2 linked regions of the Mytilus edulis genome follow. The main gene of each other region encodes a partner of the protein of the gene in region 2 in a complex. Links are inferred from orthologs where the notes say so. Each region holds a gene or a part of one and is shown on either strand. Other genes may lie near its edges.

Evidence for each region. The genes of interacting proteins can lie anywhere in the genome.
Region 1: the proteins of catenin alpha-2-like (region 2) and catenin beta-like are in contact, whole or in part, in a crystal structure (PDB 5XA5), measured with the Caenorhabditis elegans proteins. The link is inferred for Mytilus edulis from reciprocal best matches to the Caenorhabditis elegans genes hmp-1 and hmp-2. Residues at the interface, in NP_505985.1 of Caenorhabditis elegans: Asn20, Val21, Gln24, Gln27, Leu28, Glu31, Val32, Ile35, Glu37, Thr38, Phe39, Pro40, Leu41, Lys42, Thr47, Leu50, Val51, Thr53, Leu54, Ala57, Val58, Asn60, Phe61, Thr64, Gly65, Ala68, Cys72, Leu85, Met99, Gly103; in NP_001252426.1 of Caenorhabditis elegans: Ser47, Ile48, Val49, Glu50, Met51, Met52, Gln53, Pro55, Thr56, Gln57, Gln58, Leu59, Lys60, Ser62, Val63, Met64, Asp65, Leu66, Leu67, Thr68, Tyr69, Glu70, Gly71, Ser72.

Annotation. Positions count from the first base shown.
Region 1 is NC_092357.1:59,221,908-59,232,941, forward strand, and holds the start of catenin beta-like, read right to left. Parts: upstream 4,662-11,034; 5' UTR 4,453-4,661; intron 1-4,452. Other genes in the region: uncharacterized methyltransferase YdaC-like, read left to right, coding at 7,590-7,670, 8,816-8,951. UniProt on the Caenorhabditis elegans protein: Required for cell migration during body enclosure and cell shape changes during body elongation. Plays a role in recruitment of the cadherin protein hmr-1 to adherens junctions.
Region 2 is NC_092347.1:75,450,064-75,460,536, forward strand, and holds the start of catenin alpha-2-like, read left to right. Parts: upstream 1-6,153; 5' UTR 6,154-6,263; intron 6,264-10,385; 5' UTR 10,386-10,397; coding exon 10,398-10,473. UniProt on the Caenorhabditis elegans protein: Required for cell migration during body enclosure and cell shape changes during body elongation. Required for proper localization of other junctional components, such as pac-1.

The sequences.
Region 1 (11,034 bases), on a different chromosome or scaffold from region 2:
GGTATTTGAATCTTTATAGAACAGTTTATAAATCTTTAAGTTACAGATCTAAAATAACTTTAAACTTGATAAAATTTATCAATGTAAAATACTTTGTTAAATATAACAACTACATGGAAAATATGTTTTTATACAGTTTCAAGGGAAGATAACCCAATTTCAATTTTAACCATGTCTCCTTGGTTATTATCTCCCTTTATTTGTTATGTTAATTTTGTATTACTGTTGAACTTTTAACATTCCTTCAACAGATATAAAGCTTCTATCACCATTTTGAAATACAATTTGAATTTGACATGTACATGTATAGCTCATTAAATTAAATATGCAATATTGTCATGTTGAACATATTAGTAACAGCGATTGGATGCAACAGCTGTCGGACTGCAAGCCAAAGAGAGCAAGATCAGTCAGTTAGTCTATATTTTTATATAAAATTTGAAAGATGTTATTTAAATACATGTACTTGATGAATTTTCAGCATTCAAAATATTGGAAAATCACTAAATTTTATGCTTATCCTTGATATGTGCCCCAGGTGTTCCAAAGCAGGTATTAAATTGTGAAACTTTTTAATATGGTGTTATTTCAAGTTAATTGCTTTTCAAAATTTAATATAGTGAGAATTTCAGTTTATTTTAGTTTGGGTGCATTGGCTCAAAGTGCAAATATGGCACATTAATTGACTTTGTCATGTGCTGGTTAATTCAACTACATGTTGTACATGCAGCTCTGCTCCAAAAAGTGTACCAAAATTAAAAGTGCAAGTGTCTATAAATCAAGCAAGTCAAGTTCATTAGAGAAAAACACAAACATGACATGTGTCTGTATAGTAACAGTGTACAGTAACTGTATACAGCCAAAGGGTCTGGAAATGATTATATTTGCCAGACATGACCAACAATGTACATTTGTGTACACTGAAATGGCAGATAAGCCATCATACGGGTTTAGGTTGAAAAATATTTTATTAGAGAAAATCTCATTTTCATGCCAATTTGCTTTAATATTTGTTTCACATTATATTCTGGTAATAAAACTACCGCTTAAGTATAGTATTATAATCAAAAGAACTAGTTCATTCTCCTTCCAAATAAGGAATTAAATTCATACATGAAAGAGTATGGTCCAACAAAAGAACTTTGAGGACAGGGCCTAACTAGCCTCTTTTAATAGTGAGGTAAAATATATTCGCAGAGCGCAGTGAGGCAAAAAAATTTTGGCGAGGGGTCTGGGGGTTGCTCAAGGGAAAGCTCTGAGGAAATAACGCAAAATCGTGCATTCTGAGCGTTTCCTAGGCTCTTTCTTAAATTGAAACATAATTAATTTTTAGCTATTTTTTCGATGATATTCTGGTCTCAAAACAAAAACATTGATTCATTGTAATTTAAGACTTGTAGATTTTAGGGACAACATTAAAAGACTGATATGTAGGATAAAGCAAAAATTGTAATTCTCATAATCATAAATACAGGATCTGTCTGTCTATCTTGTCTTGTGCTAAGACTTGGGTGATTTTTTTTTATGGCTAGATTAAAATATAAAAAAAAAATAAATGCAGTATTATACCTTCAGTACTTGTACTGCTTAAGTTGACACTAGGGACCATCTTGACCTTGTTTTAACAGTATTAATGATTCTTTTATTGTTGAAGACCCTCCAGCAACTATCAAAATGAAGAAAAGAAATAAAAACTTTGACCACTTGGATTGATAATTTGTATTTTTTTCATCGACTTTGAGTGCGATCAGGCCCCGTGCACGTTCTCTCCATATTCCTTTATTTTCTGTTAAAGGGTCTGAACATGACTTAATGCAAATTTAACCCTTCAATGTAAAAGGTCATATGGCATTTCATTGTTGGGTTTATCAAATTATTTGATACCAGGAAATTGGTGACCTTACTTTAATTGAAATCATGTCAGCTACATATATCTAGTTTTATCGACAAAATAGTCAGCTTTATATTCTTTGAAATCAATACCTGTCTGAAACTGTTACGATATATCAAAACATTCATATTAACTCAGTGTTCTCCTCAGGCCGATATGATGCTGGGGTACCGCAGCGCCTTCATAATATTTTCGTTAATCCCGCAGCGTCTGAATTGGCTGCTGTCCCTCACTACTTGATCCCGCAGCGTGTTAATTTTCACATTTTCATTATAAATTTGTTAAAATTGTCAAGTTGCTGACATGCTGATCACAGCTGAGAGGTCACTCAGTGTTACGCAATATCTGATAATATAGTTTTACCTGAGCCACGCTTATCTCAGCCTTATCGGACTATGTTATCATGTAATAGCGTAAATGATCATCAAGAAGATAGATATTTTTAGAAAAAATTAAAAAAATTAAAAACTTCAGTGCAGAAATTGAAGAAATAGATCGCAAATACATTCTATTTAAGTTAGGCATCGTGTGTGTGATTACTTGACTATTTATATAACGAATTTTTTCATTGGTCTAAAGAAGAATCTATTTAAACACGACCAATGAACCTGTTCAATACACGTGATGGAATCAGTGATTTTCCTGGTGTTTAGGGGAAGGGTCCTGGGGCCCATGCAATTGGGAAAAAAATTATGGTTTGGGAAAAATATGAATGGTCTTTACGAGGGCGGGCACACGGCGTAAGCCGTGTGCGCCTCGCTAGGGGGGTTTGGAAAATTTTGAAAATTAGGTGCAAAATCCTGCATTCTGAGAAGGATTAACTGCATGAATTGCGTACAAAATAAGCTATCTTTTTAAGGAAAAGGATTAAAAATAAAAGTTGAATGTGTCTGAGGACACATTTGCATGCACTCAAGCTTTGTAACTTTACTCTTGAAAGGTAAAATTCAACCTATCCCTTCTGATTCTATTTATAATGATGAGAATCTATAGAAATTCTAAAAAGACACATTTGAAATCTGAAGCATTTATTTTTTAGTTTTATTTAAAATTCCAAGTTTTCCTTCATGTTTATTTTTAAACATGTCAACTAGTTGTTCCAGTTCTGTATCTGAGAGTCGGTCTTTTCCTTCTTTCACTTGTTTCATCAGAAGGAAGTAGAAACGACTTTTTGAATCCAAAAGCTTTCAGCTTCCAGCATTTACTACCGTCCGCCGCCTTTAGCTTCTTTGTGTAATATTTGGAATTATGAGACATGATCTACGTTCATTTTGTTTACATTATGTCTCATTTTTTTGCTTTGTCATTGAATTATTCATTCGGATGTTTCAAGCGCAAACGTGACCAGAATATCGTAGATTGCAATGCAATGCAATCCAAAAAAGATTGCAAACCAATCATAGTCTTAAGTGAACGATAATGATAACTCCCGAAATACCCCGAACGCTCAGAGATTTGTCAACAAAATAGTACATGATACGGAGATACGACAATAACAAAATCTCGCGACGATGTCCATATACGATTGGGAATTTTAGAGCTGAAAATTGGGAAAAAAAGAGCATATTTCTCTTTGGGAATGGGGCCGAAATTCGGCCCCAAAATGAGGGTTGGAAAATCACTGGGAATTGAATACACATTGCTAAAGATATTTACGATGAAAATTATGAATGAGAGTATTTGTAGTTGAAAAAATTAAAATAAACTTTGATTAAAGATAACGAGAAGTGATTTATTTTAATTGAAAGTGAAAAATGTTGCTTGCAAGGTAAATTCGTTTCAAACTGTCATATTTTTAGAAATAAAATGATCATTGAACATCGATCGAGAGTGGTTTTTCTTTTTGCGATTTATGAATGGAATGTGAAAAACTATATCTCGAGTGAACGCGATTGATAGTTTAGATTATTTTTACCGATAACCGCTACGAATTTCAGCTGACGGTGACTATAGTTAGTACCTGGTAACCAGCCTAGTCCAAATAAATTTATTAAAAACAATTTTATTTTTTGCTTTGACGCCTTCCTGCAACTTCACAACGCTCATTCTTTCAGTTGAAATTCAAAAGAAAATTTAAACTTTATTTAACAAGATAGTCAAAGCCAGGGCAAAAGCAAAAACATAAAATAGCCTATCAAGACTTCATTCATCATTATTTAGACTTGTACCTGCCATGCTCTAAAAACCTTGTTCTAGTCACGATTTTTAGTTGAACAGGACCAAAGGTTTGACCATAAAGCACCAGCTATAAAATTTCTGACGCCGGTAATTTCATGCGTCATACTTCGCATGTATCATAAATTTTCGTCCACTTGTCACTTCCCCCTTTTTGAAATTATTTTCATGCAAGTAGCAAACCTTATATTGTGGTTACTACGGGTATTTTCCATCGACCCCAAGTTTGTGCAACTATGCAACTACCGGTATTATTTATTGTATTGCAGAGAGTAAGCCGTTGTATTTGAACACCCAACCGTCAACAAAGGAGAATAACTTGGTTCGAGAAAATATAGGTCACAAAGGGAATATTGGCCTGTTGTATACCTTTACTTAGTACCTACCGAAAATAACTGCCGCCTTGAACCAAAGGTGGCTTTCGAAATACTCAGTTTACAAACACAATCTTTGAATGCTTGAAATTAACTTCACATTACAGCAGAACTGAATCATTCAAATTCCAAGATGGCGATTCAATTTAATCTGTCACGCATGCGCTCTTAAACAAGCACCTGTTACTTGACCTATTTACCTGTAGGCCAAATTATACATTAAAAAATAGTTCTATGGTCATGTAATATTTGTCTTTCTCTTTAAAAATTGAATTAATATACATGAAAAATATTTTATTTTATTATTCTCATGATTTTTACAATAAGGAAATACTAGATATGACTGCAATATTAAATAAAAGGTTAACAGTCGAATTCATCCGCATTGTTTAGAAATACTCTTTCCATGTTTTCCTCATGCATCACGGTTTGTTACAATTGAACACATATTACTGTTACAATAAAATAAAATAACACCCATAACAATAAAAAAAATTAAAAAAAATAGAATTATTGGGTTTTTTTTGTATTTTGTTTGACCCTCGAGTAAAATTAGTTTGGTTTTTATACAGCATGATTATTGATTTGTTCAACTTCGGGATTTGTACAAATCCTTGATTTGTTTTATTATATAAAAATAGTCGGGTGCAAAGTCAAAATATTTTGAAAATGCACAGAATGTGAATCAATAAAGTTATGTTGTCTTGTGAGGGAACAACCATTTAACTTCTAAAAGAGTTAAAAAGGAGGAGGTATATGTTATTTTCTGGGTAATTTTTTTCTCTCCAAAATTCAACACAATGACTGTATATTTTAGGTATAGGGGAAATCTGCATTCAGAATATTTTTTTTGTTATCTGCTTGACCAGAATTTTTTTTCATCCAATTGGGGGATCAGAATATTTTTCAGGAAAAAAAACATAATCCTTGTCGTTCCTTTTCCTCCAATAAAAGAAAAAAATATATGTCGGTTACGATGGTTTGATAGAAATTTTATTCATATTCTGAATAATGAACTTTCATAAGGGTAGTAATGCCCTTGACCATCAAAATCTTGCTCCCCCGAAATTAATTTTATCAATGTTTATGTGCGATTGCCAGTTTATATCATAAAAACTATAGTAGATAAATACTAGACGCTTTTAATAGCAGAAATAATCAACACGAAAAAGATACTTCAAATGTGTCGAACATGCCAAATGGATGAAATTGTCATGCAGTCGATTCCTTATTGTAGTTATTGCTCTTGACAATGATGACTTTCAATAACAGTTTTTGGCGTTATATAGAATGAAATTCAAAACAGTGTGGCTGTGGCCATTGATTGACACATTAAATTCATCCATTGACTGGGACAATTTAGGTGAACGTTTGTATGTAACGACCACTGCTCACTATCAGAGGCGGATTTAGGGGGGGCCCGGGCCCCCCCTTTTTGGGAAAAATTTGGTTGCTTATATAGGGAATCACTGAAGCGTGACTGGAGCGGGCCCCCTCTTAGGTCAGTCAGTGGGCCCCCACATATGAAAATTTCTGGATCCGCCACTGACTATGTACTTTTTAAAGACACTTAAACTATGGGGTCACCAAAGGTTCTCAACGCCTTAATTAAGTAATTCGAAAAATTAATCAGAAATAACACGATGTTTTGATTTATATCAATTATATAAATCAAAACATAAAGGTTATTCCTGATTAATTTTTCGAATTATTTTATAATTAAAGGCGTTAAGAAACCTTTGGTGACCCCACAGTTTAAAAGTCTATCGTAGGTACGTCGTGAACAGTGGTCGTTACATACAAACGTTCACGTAAATTGTCCCGGTCAATGGATGAATTTAATGTGTCAATCAATGGCCACAGCCACGCTGTTTTGAATTTCATTCTATTACTTTCGCATTATAATAGATGCTTCGAAACATTAAAATACTAAGCTGACAAGCAATACAAGATCCGCATTAAGAAAGAAGTGTCAGTCATAAAAGTTGTTGCCTATAAAGGACATTTTTTTTTACCATTTGTTTTGTGTTTGGGGAGGGGGACTACAGAAGAAAGGGAGATAGTGTAAACAGAAAAATAATGATCACCAACACGATATCCCCCTTTTTCCCCTTAAAAAAGAGAGTTCAATCATTAACTTTGTTCGTGTACAGTTTTGTAGAATATCCATTGTTGAAGATGCACGTGACAGGCGAGCTACACAGGCTCTTAAGAGCATCTAGTTACATCATCAAAATTATGTTTTTCTAGTGTGACCAGGCCAATCCAATCATTTTTAAAATCCCTACTTCCTCTACAGAAAATCAAAATGCAGTCCAATTGCATTTGCTACCATCAAATTGCTAATTGACGGCGAGAACTCTTCAGTTACAGTACTGTTATTTCATTACTCATGATAACTAGTAGGCACTGTTTTTGTACATTTTATTTGCTGACGATAATGGTATTATGACATCAGTGGAGGATTCAGGGGGTGTAAACGGCTTACCCTTGGTAATAACTTTTTCGGAAAATTGCGCCTCCCTTTCCTCAAACACAGGCACTTGTCTCAGAACCCCCCCTACATACCTCAAACCCTTGATAAGCACATTGTACTTGTGCACATTGGCAAATTTTAATCCCTTTGAAAACCTCAACAAATTTCTTTATTTTTATTCTGATAACTATGTTCAAGAATCTGATGTGCAGTAGTTTTAGTTTGTTGATGTCATTGGCGGATCCAGGGGGGGGGGGGTCCGGGGGTTGGAACCCCCCTTTTCTTTGGTCGATCAATGCATTTGAATGGGAACATATAGTTGGACCCCCCCCCCCCCCCCCCCCCCCCTTTGTCCTGGGTTGGGAACCCCCACTTTTTAAAATGGCTGGATCCGCCCCTGGATGTGGTTCATATATAACTGTTTCACGTTTCTCGTTTTTAATATAAATTAGACCATTAATTTTCCCGTTTGAATGGATTTACACTGGTAATATTTGGGACCCTAAATAGCTTGCTGAGCTCTTCTGTGTGAGCAAAGGCTCCGTGTTGAAGGTCGTACTTTGACCTATAATGGTTTACTTTCACAAATCTTGACTTGGATGGAGAGTTGTCTCATTGGCATTCATACCACATCTTCTTATATCTATCTATATACTTTCATATATTCAGGAGGATGACTAATATCTTTAGAGAATATTTAGCACAGAATCTGCGGAAACCTGGAAGTGGCTTCTTTGGTTGGTATGTTACGAAGGTAAATATTTGTCTTAATATATACTATAGTACATCAGAATGCTGCAATACAAATTGACAGTACTTCAATATGAAATGAATCGAATAGACCACTTTCGAGTTCATCCGTCACCGGCAAAAACTCGTCAATTATGCACGCCTTTATGACGTCACTTACCAGATAGAGGGGCTCGCCTGTATCCCTGCACTATTTACGTTCATCAAGCGTCTTAGTGATCGTCTTTGTGCAGGATAACCTAGAAATAATGGTTGCTCTGTAGGTACTTACTGACAATTCCCTAATGACAGCAGTGTTGATTGTCAATTTTGAGAATTCAATTTGCCGAATAATTCGTACAATATAGAATTATAGTTTTCCAACCACTCGCTCAACATTGGAAGGAAGTGACGACGCCCCTAAACGCAAAAATGACGGTGATAAAGGCGCGTATAATTGACGAGTTTTTTCCGGTGACGGATGAACTCGAAAGTGGTCTATTGCTTTGTAACTGCTTCCTGTATTAACAAGGATGCTATCACGCTTCGAAGTTTTATGAATAATTATACCCATTTTACTGTATTTAAATGATTTTTTTACATTTTTGCATGTATGGTAAAACCTCGAATTCAGACATAATATCCAAACTGAATTTAAAACGTAACGGAAGCCGTGCGTTTTGGACATGTCCAAAATTACTGCATTATGTACTAAGCACATCAAGAGGTGTGGTATTTCTTATTTTCTTATGATTGCACGCTATAGATAAACACAATTCCTTTTAATTAAAGGCTGAAACTTTCACAGAACCACCATGCATACGTTTACAATTTTAATAAAGCAGAGATAATACGGAAATCATATTTATTGTTCCTAGAATATGGTTATTTACCACCAACCCATAGATGACACATACATTAACAACTATAGGTCACCGTACGGCCTTCAACAATGAGCAAACCCCATACTGCATAGTCAGCCATAAAAGGCCCAGAAATGACAATGTAAACCAATTCAAACGAGAAAAATAATATAGGTTGCTTAATTTTTATCAGATGTATTGTTCACATCTTAAATCTTCCATCAGGTTATGAAAAGAAAATTTTGAAACTTATTAACATCTTGACACCAATCACATCAACAATTTTGTTTTTAAATTTTAAATTCAGAATATCTTTTTGAGACGAAATGTGATTTTAGAAGAAAGTGCTGTAAAACTGTGTCAGATTGAACCACACCACAATGTTTTAGAGGTCGGGTTTGGACCAGGAGTTGGACTTGAAGCTGCGTGTAAACATGTGACGGGTAAGCTTGTAAATATGTGACGGGTAAGCTTGTAAATATGTGACAGGTGAGCTTGTAAATATGTGACGGGTAAGGCGATTCTCACGAGGGTCTAGATTGGGGTCCCTCATCTCATTTATTCCTTAAAGACCACTTGATAGATAATTTCCAAATGCTGGTAAAGTAAGACTTTTGTTAGCTAGCTTGCTTTGTTTGTATATTGTATAATTGTAATTGGGATAACGTCAATCTAATTAAAAACCGATCTCTCATCGCTCCTGTTTCTGATATGTCGCGTGGGAGATCTAACGAAACCGGCTTTGAGGTCACATGCGAGTGAACTAAAAGTTATGAATTTATAAAGATATGCAAATGAGTTGACGACCTATTAATAAGCCAATCAAAAAAGTTTATGAATTATTTTGACTGACGATTTCGTCGTAAATAAAATGAGTTACATCCCTTTGCCTTACGTTAAACTTCCAAGATCGTGGAAGACTCGATTTCATTGGTCGAAAAAGACACACCTACGAGGTCACTCCCATGTGACCTCAAAGCGGGTTTCGTTAGATCTCCTACGCGACATATCAGAAACAGGAGCGGTGAGAGATCGGTTTTTAATTAGATTGGGATAACGTCCAATCTAATCTAAAAAATGATTGATGCGAGGTATACTTTATCGTAGTTTTAACATGGGTAGGCATTATATTCGTGATTATTTTTGCCCGAGCGATAGTGAGGGCTAAACTAACACGAATATAATGCCTAACTATGTTAAAACTACAATAAAGTATAGTTTGCATCAATTATTTCGATTCTGATTAGGACAATTAAGGTAATTTCTATGTCTGATGTGTATAAGTGTAGATCGTTTGTGTAGGCTCTTCCATGAACCTCACTTTTTTGTTTGTAAAGAAGCAAACGACTTGCACTGTGATTTTTCAGAGGGAGGAGTTTGAACAGTCAAAATGAATGGTTGTCGTATCTAGGTCAAATATGTCAATTTCGGAATGCAACACATTACTGTCATAATAAATGAATTTTGGAAGTGTTTTAAGTCAATGAAATATATTAAATGCATGCCAATTTGAAAAAATTCATTATTCTGCAGTAGTCAATATACGCATGTGCAAACAAATTTTATTGGATTTAGAACATCGGTTTGTCCACAAAGCGAACGAAGCACGTCATATTAAAATTAAATATAATCTATACAGGTTGAAATATGCCTATATATATTGTTTGAAGATGTCAATGTTAATTTTCTTTCTTAGAAATTAATCGAAAATGCAGTACAAAATAATTCAGACGTGAAATATGGCAAACATATGGAAATGAGACGTGTTTTTTTTTACCACAGTGTACTGTCGAAATGCGCATCTGGTGCAAGAAAATTGGTACCATTAATTTTATTAATAAAGTGAAAAGTAAATAAAAGACAAATATATATATACAAACAAAATCCCAAATCAATTGGAAGTTCCGACAGGTGCCTCGGGAGGATTTGGATAATATTTTACCGTCAGTCGTCAAACGCTCATTTTCGGCTTCTGCTAGCTTGATATTGACGAAAATGTTACTGTGATTCGTCAAAATATCCTTATCGTGATTCATCAGAGGTTCCAAATAATTATGGTTACCGTTTTTTGTGTGAAAAAGAAAAAGTGATTTATTTTATCGTCATTCACCAAAAACTACCGTTCACGTCATTTGGCAAGATTTTTTGCGTTATTCGTCATGAAGGTACCCCATTTCGTAAGATTTCTTGCGTTATTCGTCATGAAGGTACACCATTTCGCCCTTCATATAAAGAATAGAGAAAAACGAAGATTAAAAATTTAAGCATACGGATATGAAGAACCAACCTCCAGACCCTCATAAAACACGCGTTTTCAAGTTCCAGAGACATGTGCCTGTCTTAATAAATGAGATATATACATGTATGTATATTTTTGAGAAAGAGTGTGTTGAAAGTCTGTTAAAAAAAGATGTAAATTTCACGGGACTTGGGGTATGGATACCTCTTTTATTTAATTTATTTGTTTGTAGCTGTTTTATTATTTCGTAAACTATCTTTATTTTTTTGTTTACATACAATGTAATG
Region 2 (10,473 bases):
CATTCTCTACTCCCTGTACAACAACCAAACGTACATTATCTACTCCCCGTACAACTACAAAACTTACATTATCTACTCCCCGTACAACTACAAAACTTACATACTCTACACCCCGTACAACAACAAAACTTACGTGCTCTACTCCCTGTAAAACAACAAAACTTACATTTTCTACTCCCCGTACAACAACAAAACTTACATTCTCTACTCCCCGTACAACAATAAAACTTACATTCTCTACTCCCTGTACAACAACAAAACTTACATTCTCTACTCCCTGTACAACAACAAAACTTACATTCTCTACTCCCCGTACAACAACAAAACTTACATTCCCTTCTCCCCGTACAACAACAAAACTTACATTCTCTACTCCCCGTACGTTAACAAAACTTACATTATCTACTCCCCGTACAACAACACAACTTACGTCATCTTCTCCCTGTACAACAACCAAACTTACCTTCTCTACTCCCCGTATAGCAACAAAAATTACATCATCTACTCCCTGTACAACAACAAAACTTGCATACTCTACTCCCCATACAACAACAAAACTTAAATTCTCTACTTCCTGTACAACAAAAAAACTTAAATTCTCTACTCCCTATACAACAACCAAACTTGCCTTCTCTACTCCGAGTATAACAACAAAACTTACATAATCTACACCCCGTACAACAACAAAACTTACATTATCTACTTCCCGTACAACAACAAAACTTACATTATCTACTTCCCGTATAACAACCAAACTTACATCATCTACTCCCCGTACAACAACAAAACTTAAATTCTCTACTCCTTGTACAACAACACAACTTACGTCATCTTCTCTCTGTACAACAACCAAACTTACCTTCTCTACTCCCCGTAAAACAACAAAACTTGCATACCTTACTCCCCATACAACAACAAAACTTGCATACTCTACTCCTCATACAACAACAAAACTTAAATTCTCTACTTCCTGTACAACAAAAAAACTTACATTCTCTACTCCCCATACAACTACAAAACTTACATTATCTACTCCTCTTACAACAACAAAACTTACATACTCTACTCACCGTACAACTACAAAACTTACATTTTCTACTCACCGTACAACTACAAAACTTACATTCTCTACTCCCCGTACATCTACAAAACATACATTCTCTACTCCCCGTACAACTACCAAACTTACAAACTTTACTCCCCGTACAACGCCAAAACTTACATCATTTACTCTCTGTAAAACAACAGAACTTACATTCTCTACTCCCCGTACAACAACAAAACGTAAATTATCTACTCCCTGTACAATAACCAAACTTACATTCTCTACTTCCTGTACATAAACCAAACTTATTTACTCCACACTCCGTACAACAACGAAACATACATTCTTTACTCCCTGTACAACAACCAAACTTACATACTTCACTCCCCGTACAACAACCAAACATACATTCTCTACTCCCCTTACAACAACAAAACGTACATCATCTACTTCCTGTACAACAACAAAACTTACATACTCTACTCCCCGTACAACAACCAAACTTACATACTCAACTCCCTGTACAATAACCAAACTAACATTATCTACTCCCTGTACAACAACAAAACGTACATCATTCATTTCCTGTACAACAAAACTTACATACTCCACTCCCCGTACAACAACCAAACTTACATACTCAACTCCCCGTACAACAACCAAACTTACATTCTCTACTCCCTGTACAACAACCAAACTTGCATACTCGACTCTCCGTACAACAACCAAACTCCCTGTACAACAACAAAACTTACATACTCTACTCCTCGTACAACAACCAAACTTACATTCTTTACTCTCTGTACAACAACCAAACTTACAAACTCTACTCTCCGTATGACAACACAGCTTACGTTCTATACTCCCCGTATAACAACGCAACTTACCTTCTATACTCCACGTCAACAACCAAACTTACATTCTCCACTCCCCGTACGACAACAAAACTGACATACTCTACTATTCGTACAACAACAAAACTTAAATTATCTACTCAACGTACAACAACAAAACTTAAATTTTCTACTCCCTGTACAACAACCAAACTTACATACTCTACACCCCGTACAACAACAAAACTTACATACTCTACTCCCCGTATAACAACACAGCTTACCTTCTCTACTCCGAGTATAACAACCAAACTTACATAATCTACTCCCTGTACAACAACAAAACTTACATTATCTACTCCCCGTACAACAACCAAACTTACATTCTCTACTCCCTGTACAACAACAAAACTTACATTATCTCCTCCCCGTACAACAACAAAACTTAAATTCTCTACTCCCTGTACAACAACACAACTTACGTCATCTTCTCCCTGTACAACAACCAAACTTACCTTCTCTACTCCCCGTATAATAACAAAAATTACATCATCTACTCCCTGTACAACAACAAAACTTGCATACTCTACTCCCCATACAACAACAAAACTTAAATTCTCTACTTCCTGTACAACAAAAAAACTTACATTCTCTACTCCCCGTAAAACAACAAAACTTACCTTCTCTACTCCCCGTAAAACAACAAAACTTACCTTCTCTACTCCCCGTACAACAAAACGTACATACTTTAATCCCCGTACAACTACAAAACTTACATACTCTACTCCCCGTACAACAACCAAACTTACATTCTCTACTCTCCGTACAACAACAAAACTTACAAACTCTACTCCCCGTATAACAAAACAACTTACCTTCTATACTCCCTGTACAACAACAAAACTTACAAACCCTACTCCCCGTATAACAACACAACTTACCTTCTATACTCCCCGTACAACTACAAAACTTACATACTCTACTCCCCGTACAACTACTAAACATACATACTCTACTCCCCTTACACGACAAAACTTATATACTATACTCCCCGCACAACAACAAAACTTATATACTCTTCTCGTCGTACAACAACAAAATTTACATACTCAACTGCCCGTTCAGTTCTCTACCCCATTTGCAACAACAAAACTTACAGTCTATGACTCCCCGACCAGCAAATCAAATTTTGTATAATTTGTACGTAGGACTACAGACAGAAGGTCTTTTGTTATAATATACAAATAGTATAATAAACACTAACCTCTTAACAGACAAAAACATCCTTAAAGTTTCTATGATTTTTTTACTTCCCCCTTACCAATGCGTTAATCTTTTCACTCATACATGATAATCGTATACAATACCTTCTTTGTCAATTATTCCCACTTTCTCTTCAACTCGTTGCTCCTATTTTCTGAAACTGCGATAAGATGAAGTATACTTATACTATGACTTTCATAGGCTTGTTATACCATAACTTATCATCCACATCTATTCGAATTCGAATTTAAAGTGTGCTGTCACATTTTTCGTTGTAAAACAATGTGTGTATGTGGTCAGTAAAATTGTTTTTATTTTTATCCGTCTCGGTTTTATTGACAGATACTTTGCCACATTATCCCGGTCATATATTTTTTTAATTACTATTAGCTATCACTGTCGTTAAAATGTATCTGTTGATCGAATGATGTACTGCTGAACATCCAAAAAAGCCGGAGCATACTAAACATAACTTCCAATTTTAACCTTCAAATGCAAATAGTTCTTATATATTATGGATTAAAAAAAAGTGGCAATATGTACAATTATAGGTAACTTATGCAAAGTTGGAAGGATGACATGCATGCGGATACTGTATACTACAATCTTGGGGCAAAGTTTGGATAGAAGTAGAAAACTTGTATCAGACCCCTCCAGTGGCTTATCCAGCAATTTTTGAAAGGTGGTTCCAACCCTGGAGAAAGCAGTTTTTAAATATGTATCCCTATGCAAATGCATAGATTTCATTGATGTTATTTAAAACAAATCGGATGTCAAGTCGTAAATAAAAAAAAAACATTAACTTTGAGCTGAAATATAAGGAACTTACAGGCTTAATCCAAGCAATAGACAATGCTTTAAACTCACTATCAGAATTGTTTTCATGGATTATGACTTGCATATATAAATTACATAAAATCTACAACTGCGTCCTCGTTTCTCAAAAGTGACCTACCGAAATGGACTTATCACCGGGTTTGTACTAACATCATCAACACGACCGGTGCCACGTGTGTAGCAGGGTCTGCATACTCTTCCAGAGCGAGTAAGATCACACATGTCCCTTTCCCCGCCAAATACCAGATATGATATCTGATGCTCCGGAATGGTACTTCTGTTTCTACTTCTGCCAACGAACTATTTATACTGGCATGTGTTTGGTGCACATACCATCCCCTCTCTTAATTTTAATCTAGTTCAACCCAGGTCAAATAGCGTTCAAATATCGTATGGTTCTTCGGAAGAATGAGGTTTGCGATAATAACAGTATGTCGATGGTACCTGGAAGAATTTGTCGTGCATATTTTTGACAGTCGTTTTTAGTTGAAAGAGGCGACCTCCCTTTGGCATTGCGACTTTGTTGTTTCTATGTTGTTGAGCAGGGTTATTCTCGCTTCTTTCCTTCTTTGATCTATGGATGTCCTTTTAAGGTGTTTGAACATCGCACTACTAACGTTTCAGTGGTTATGATGTTTGTTGGATACATAGCGAACTCCTCTTCTTTTGGGTCATCTCGAGTCTGTCAGTCTCTGTCTTAAATTATAGATCCCATCCTGGAATGGCGTATTCTACAATTGGTCGTAATAGTGTTTTGTAGGCATTCTCCTTTACTAAAATTGATCATTTGTTTAAATTTATTTTTAGGAAACCAATTGTTCAATTTGTCTTGTTATTTAATATTTATATTTTTCATTTATACATTATCATTCCCTCTGTGTTCTGATGTAAATTTGCAGTCTTATGTATATTGCACTTCTGACTGATTCAAGAATATGATCATGTAAGCTCTATGAAGTTGTAAAACCTGTGAATCTTTGTCTGATGATATTGTGAGGTAAGCTATTGTATCATCTACAAATAGTCGGACAGTAGATGTAATCACTTAATGTAAAAGAGGAATAGTGAAGGCCCAAGTACTGAGGCTTGTGGTACTCCAGACTCTAGTAAGACTACATCAATATGTGATGTGCTTTCTCCATCCACAACTTCTGCTTCGACTTACGAGACAGAATGCTTGCAATCCACTTATTGACTTTTCCTTCGATACAGTGTCCCATTTTATGTATAAGGTCTTCAACACGGAGCCTTGGCGCACACCGAACTGCAAGCTATAAAGGGCCCAAAAAATGACTAGACTTAGTGTAAAATCATTAAAACAGGAAAACCATGCCAACAGTCTAATTGAAAATCTGAAACGAGAAACGAGAAACACTTATGAACCAAATCAACAAACGGCGACTACTGAACATCAGGTTTCTGACTTAGGACAGGTGCAAACAAATGCAGCGGGTTTAAAACGTTTTAATAGGTTTCAACTGAAACAACGTATGTGTAACATTACAACATAGAAAGACGCACTATGAAATATAAATTGAAAAGTATTAACTCAATCAATTAAATAATAGGCAGGGGGCGGATCCAGCCATTTTAAAAAGGGGAGTTCCTAATACTGGATAAGGGGGGGGGGAGGGAACCACATGTCCCATTCACATATGCATTGATCGTCCAAAAAAGGGGGTTACAACCCCCCCCCCCCCTTTTCCCTGGATCCGCCACTGGTAATTGAATCTAGGCGTTTTATCGGACCATCATCAGTGATCTTGTTTTTTAAAATTAAAACAGTGCTATTAAATTGTCTCCAATGATCTGTGCCAAGATTGGTAATGATCATCCAACTCGGTTTTTGGTTTACATTTAACCCCTGTCAAGGATTTGTATAGTGAGACTATACAATTAAATCCTTGCCCCTGTGTATTATTATTTTGTTAGACGACAGAGGGAAGTTTTCGTAATGTCGCGCACCGAATTCCTATAAACACGTGATCACATTCTTAGCTGTTCTATAATAATTACCCACTTCGTAAAATATGTATGAAATATAAATATATTATTTGTTATTCTATATTATTTATTGTCTGTAGCTTAATTTGTAGTCATCAATAATTTATTGTTTAATTATACTATGTCGTGTTAAATCAAATATCAAACTATCAATAAAACGTTTTCAGCATTTATTATTTGCCTGGGAGGAATTTATAAACGGAAGTGGAAAAGCGGATGTTGTGACTAATGAGTCCGGAAGCGAATTATTCACTAGAAATATTACAAACATTCTGAAACAGGTTGGTAGGAATTCACGTCGAACATAAGTCTTTGCGTTTCGCATCAATAGAAAAGAATATCTTTACCAAATAGTTCAAGCAATTGTATACTATTTTATCCTGATAGCTGCACTGTGTCTGTGTAGCAAGGCATTTCATTTTCAACCATTTGTCTGGGCTGCTAGAAAAAAAACAGGCTATTAATTTAATACTTATTAATAGTATAAAAGTATTAATGCATATTTATAAAAGTATTAATACATATTTATAAAATATAAAATGAGCATTCGTAATTTCGCTCTGTGTCCATATAAGAGGGGGGATAGGAGGGGTCCTGATCCTAAAAATCCCGGGCTTAAAAACATGAAATCCCGAAATTCCGGGGTTAAAACACGAAATCAGGAGGTCCCGAAATTTCGAAAAAAGAATTCCTGGATCCCGAAAGGGTCAATCCCAAAATCCCAAGCTTAAAAACACCCGATCCCGGAGTCCTATTAAAGGCCCAACCCCCCTCATATACAAAATGTAGGGTCAAAATTGTAGTTGAAACAAATATATTTTAGGTACTGCCCTTATTACGCTTGGCTAGGGCAGTAGACTCCTACTCCTAGCTGCCAAACTGTTGCTCTTATCTGTATCGTTTCCTCGAAAGTACCAATACTAGCTTGAACTCGTAGGGAGAGAGGGCTCCCATAATTTGACAGCGTTGGAGAGCTGTTTTAAAGTCCTCAACTGACTTGGCGCACACAATGTGTATATCTTTTTCGAGATGGTTCCAATGAATCGCAGTCTTGATGAAGAAATTGCTCAGTTTTACAGTTTGTTGTTTCAACTGCCTTTGAGTTGTTTTTTACTGAGTTGGTAACTATATTTGGGCTTTAAAATCCTTTTAGTTTTGCCTTTAACTAAAAATTTGTCAGGTTTGATACCTGGGACCAAACCCTCAACCAATTTATTTAGAAATACCAGTATTTGGCTTGTTCTTCTGGACTGTCAGTTTTCAAGTTCTTTCTTTGGATTCTTTCTAGTTGGTTGATGTTGTTCTACAGTGTATGTATAAGGGTTCGATTCAATTGCATCATATTCCATCATAGATCTAGCCAATGAAAGCCAGGTATACTGTTTTCTTAAAAAAAAAAAATTTGGTATGATAATGATTGGCATTGCCAATGAGACAATTCTCCACAATAGACCAAAATGACACAGAAATTAACAACTATAGGTCACCGTACAGCCTTCAACAATGAGGCCTAAATTAAAATATTGTTTGTTTGCCCTTTTCCGACCCTATGTTTTGAAACAGGGTAGGTAGGTAGGTACAATATTTAATTTTTTTCCCCAAAAAAATAACTTGGCTCGGTATATTATTTGTCATGTGTAGGCAGGTAGGTAAAATATTTTATTTTATAGATACAAAATCTGCATAATGTCATTTTTTTGTCCGTTTTGTTTTTGCAAATAAGTTTTCCGCTGGGACTATTAGTTTTGAAAAAAAAATATATAAGAGATAACTTTGTACTGGTAAGATAATGTCCGGGCAGACATATATGACTAGTAGAAAAAGTCCCTAGAGTGTTACAAATTTCGTGTGTGCCTTTTTTTCCAATAAAAATGCTATAAGACTTAAAACTCGATTGTCACGTATTTTGCATCACATTTATAAATGATCTGTATGGAAAACTTGGCGATTTTACTGCCAGATATTCTCCACTTTACAGGGTTTTGTCACTTTTGGTTCATGTCAGATATAAATAATTTAGCAGCATCGTTAACATAATCATTCTGATATGCGGATCACAAAAGGACATCCCTACATAGAATACAACGTCCGTTTACAAATTAGTTTGTACACACGTTAATACTTTTGTATCAAACGAACTTTTTTGTAAATGAACCCTGCTCTTTAAGTTTAAAGGTACAGAGTAACGTACTTCATATCATGATTTCAGAAAGCGTTCAACATCGATTTCAAACAAATGCTTTGAAACTTCAAATGCAAGTGTTCATGTCAAACGCTCAGGTGATACCAAACGGACTGGACCTTATACGTAAAGATAAAACCCGAGGATTCCGGTAAAAAAGTTTTGAGCGGGAAATACAAATATAAGATTTTTGGTAGGAACGAAAAAATAAAATAAAATAAAATCTTGCTGGTAAATACAAATAAAAGATTTTCAGGCGAAACGAATTGATAGGGTCGGTCGGTAAAGGGCAAACAAACAATATTTTGATTTAAGCCTGAGCAAAACCAATTACGCATAATCAGCTATAAAAGGCCCAAAATGACAATGTTAAACAGCGCATACCCCTGTCATTGGCCCATGTTTCTAGGCTAACCAGATCTAGTTATAAAAGAGTGTGGTCCCATTGTGTTTAAATGTTTCTGTATAGCAGACAATCATCAGCAAAAATATATATTTTTCTCATCCCTTGGCGTCGTCGTAATTAACTTTTACAAAAATCTTCTCCTCTGAAACAACTGGGCCAAATTTAACCAAACTTAGCCACAATCATCATTGGAGTATCTAATTTAAAAATGTGTCCAATAACCCTGCCAACCAACCAAGATGGCCGCCATGGCTAAAAATAAAAAATTTGGGTAAAATGTAGATTTTAGCTTATATCTCTGAATTTGATAATAGATAGAGATAAACTGTAAACAGCAATAATGTTCAGCAAAGTGAGATCTACAAATAAGTCAACATGACCAAAATGGTCAATTGGTCCATTAGGAGTTATTGCCCTTCATAGTAAATTTTTAACAATTTTTCCTAATTTTTTTTTATCTTTTACAAAAATCTTAGCCTCTGAAACAACGAAGACATATTTGATCATATTTAACCAAACTTGTCCACAATAATCATTAGGGAATGTTGTTTACAAAAATGTGTCTGATGACCCTGTCTGCGAACCAAGCTGGTCGACATAGCTAAAAATAGTACATACGGTAAAATGCAGTTTTTGGTTCATATCTCTTAAACCAAAGCATTTAGAGCAAATCTAACTGGATTATATTGTTCATTAGGTCAAGATCTATCTGCCCTGAAATTTTCATACCATTCATACAACCCTTTGTTGGGTTGCTGCTCCTGAATTGGTAGTTTTAAGAAGATTTTGCAGCTTTTGGTTATTATCTTAAATATTATTAAGATAGAAATAAACTGTAAACAGCAATAATTTACAGCAAAGTAAGACCTAAAAATAAGTCAACATGACTAAAATGGTCAATTTTTAACAATTTTCATAAATTTTGTAAATTTTTACAAAATATTTTCCACTGTAATTACTGGGCCAAGTTCATTATAGATAGATATAATTGTAAGCAACAAGAATGTTCAATAAAATAAGATCTACAAACACATCATCATCACCAAAACATGATTTTGTCATGAATCCATCTGTGTCCTTTGTTCTGAAACTGAAAGCCTCTTTTTCGATAAAAGGGTTGCGTTATTTTTTATTTGTAACATTTATTGACCAACGTATTATTTTGTATACTACATTTTGTTGCTCTTGTTGCACACAATGTGCCTGAGTGTATTAATAAACTTGTCTTGTCTTGTCTTGTTTAATATGCACATAGACCAAGGTGAGCGACACAGGCTCTTTAGAGCCTTTAGTTATATAATAAAGGACTGCAGATAGTAAAAAATATTCTAAGAACCTAAGAGCTACAAAATTATGGGAAATATTTGAAAAATACTGGCTAGTTTCTAGGAGCATTATTGGTTTCATTGTTACATTAATTTTTATTCAGAATTTCTTTCAATGGCTGTTCATAGCAATTAATTAAGAACTCTAATCTTATTAATAGGTAAATTAATGCTACATGCATTTGATCTTACTGAATGGTAAATAATCTTAGACTGTCTGTTGAGTTCAAAAATCAAAATAGAAATATTTCTGTAACATGAAGACATGAACATGTTCTTGTCATTTGCTTTCAATGCTGGATATGATAGGACCACTAATCAGTCTAAATAGTTTCCATATCATCAAATTTTCTATTGAGACACTATTAGATTCTGATTGAATACAATGGAATAGAAGTAAGATGATTGATAAAGGGGAGCCCTAGTTGTTTTTTGCATTTGACTAATTACTTATATATAATTATGTTTACATAATATAATCTTTTTTCAGAATAAAGACACAATGGCATTGAATGCCCCACAAATGGGGACACTTCAAGTCCGTTGGGATCCAAAGAATTTGGAAATCAAAACAAAGT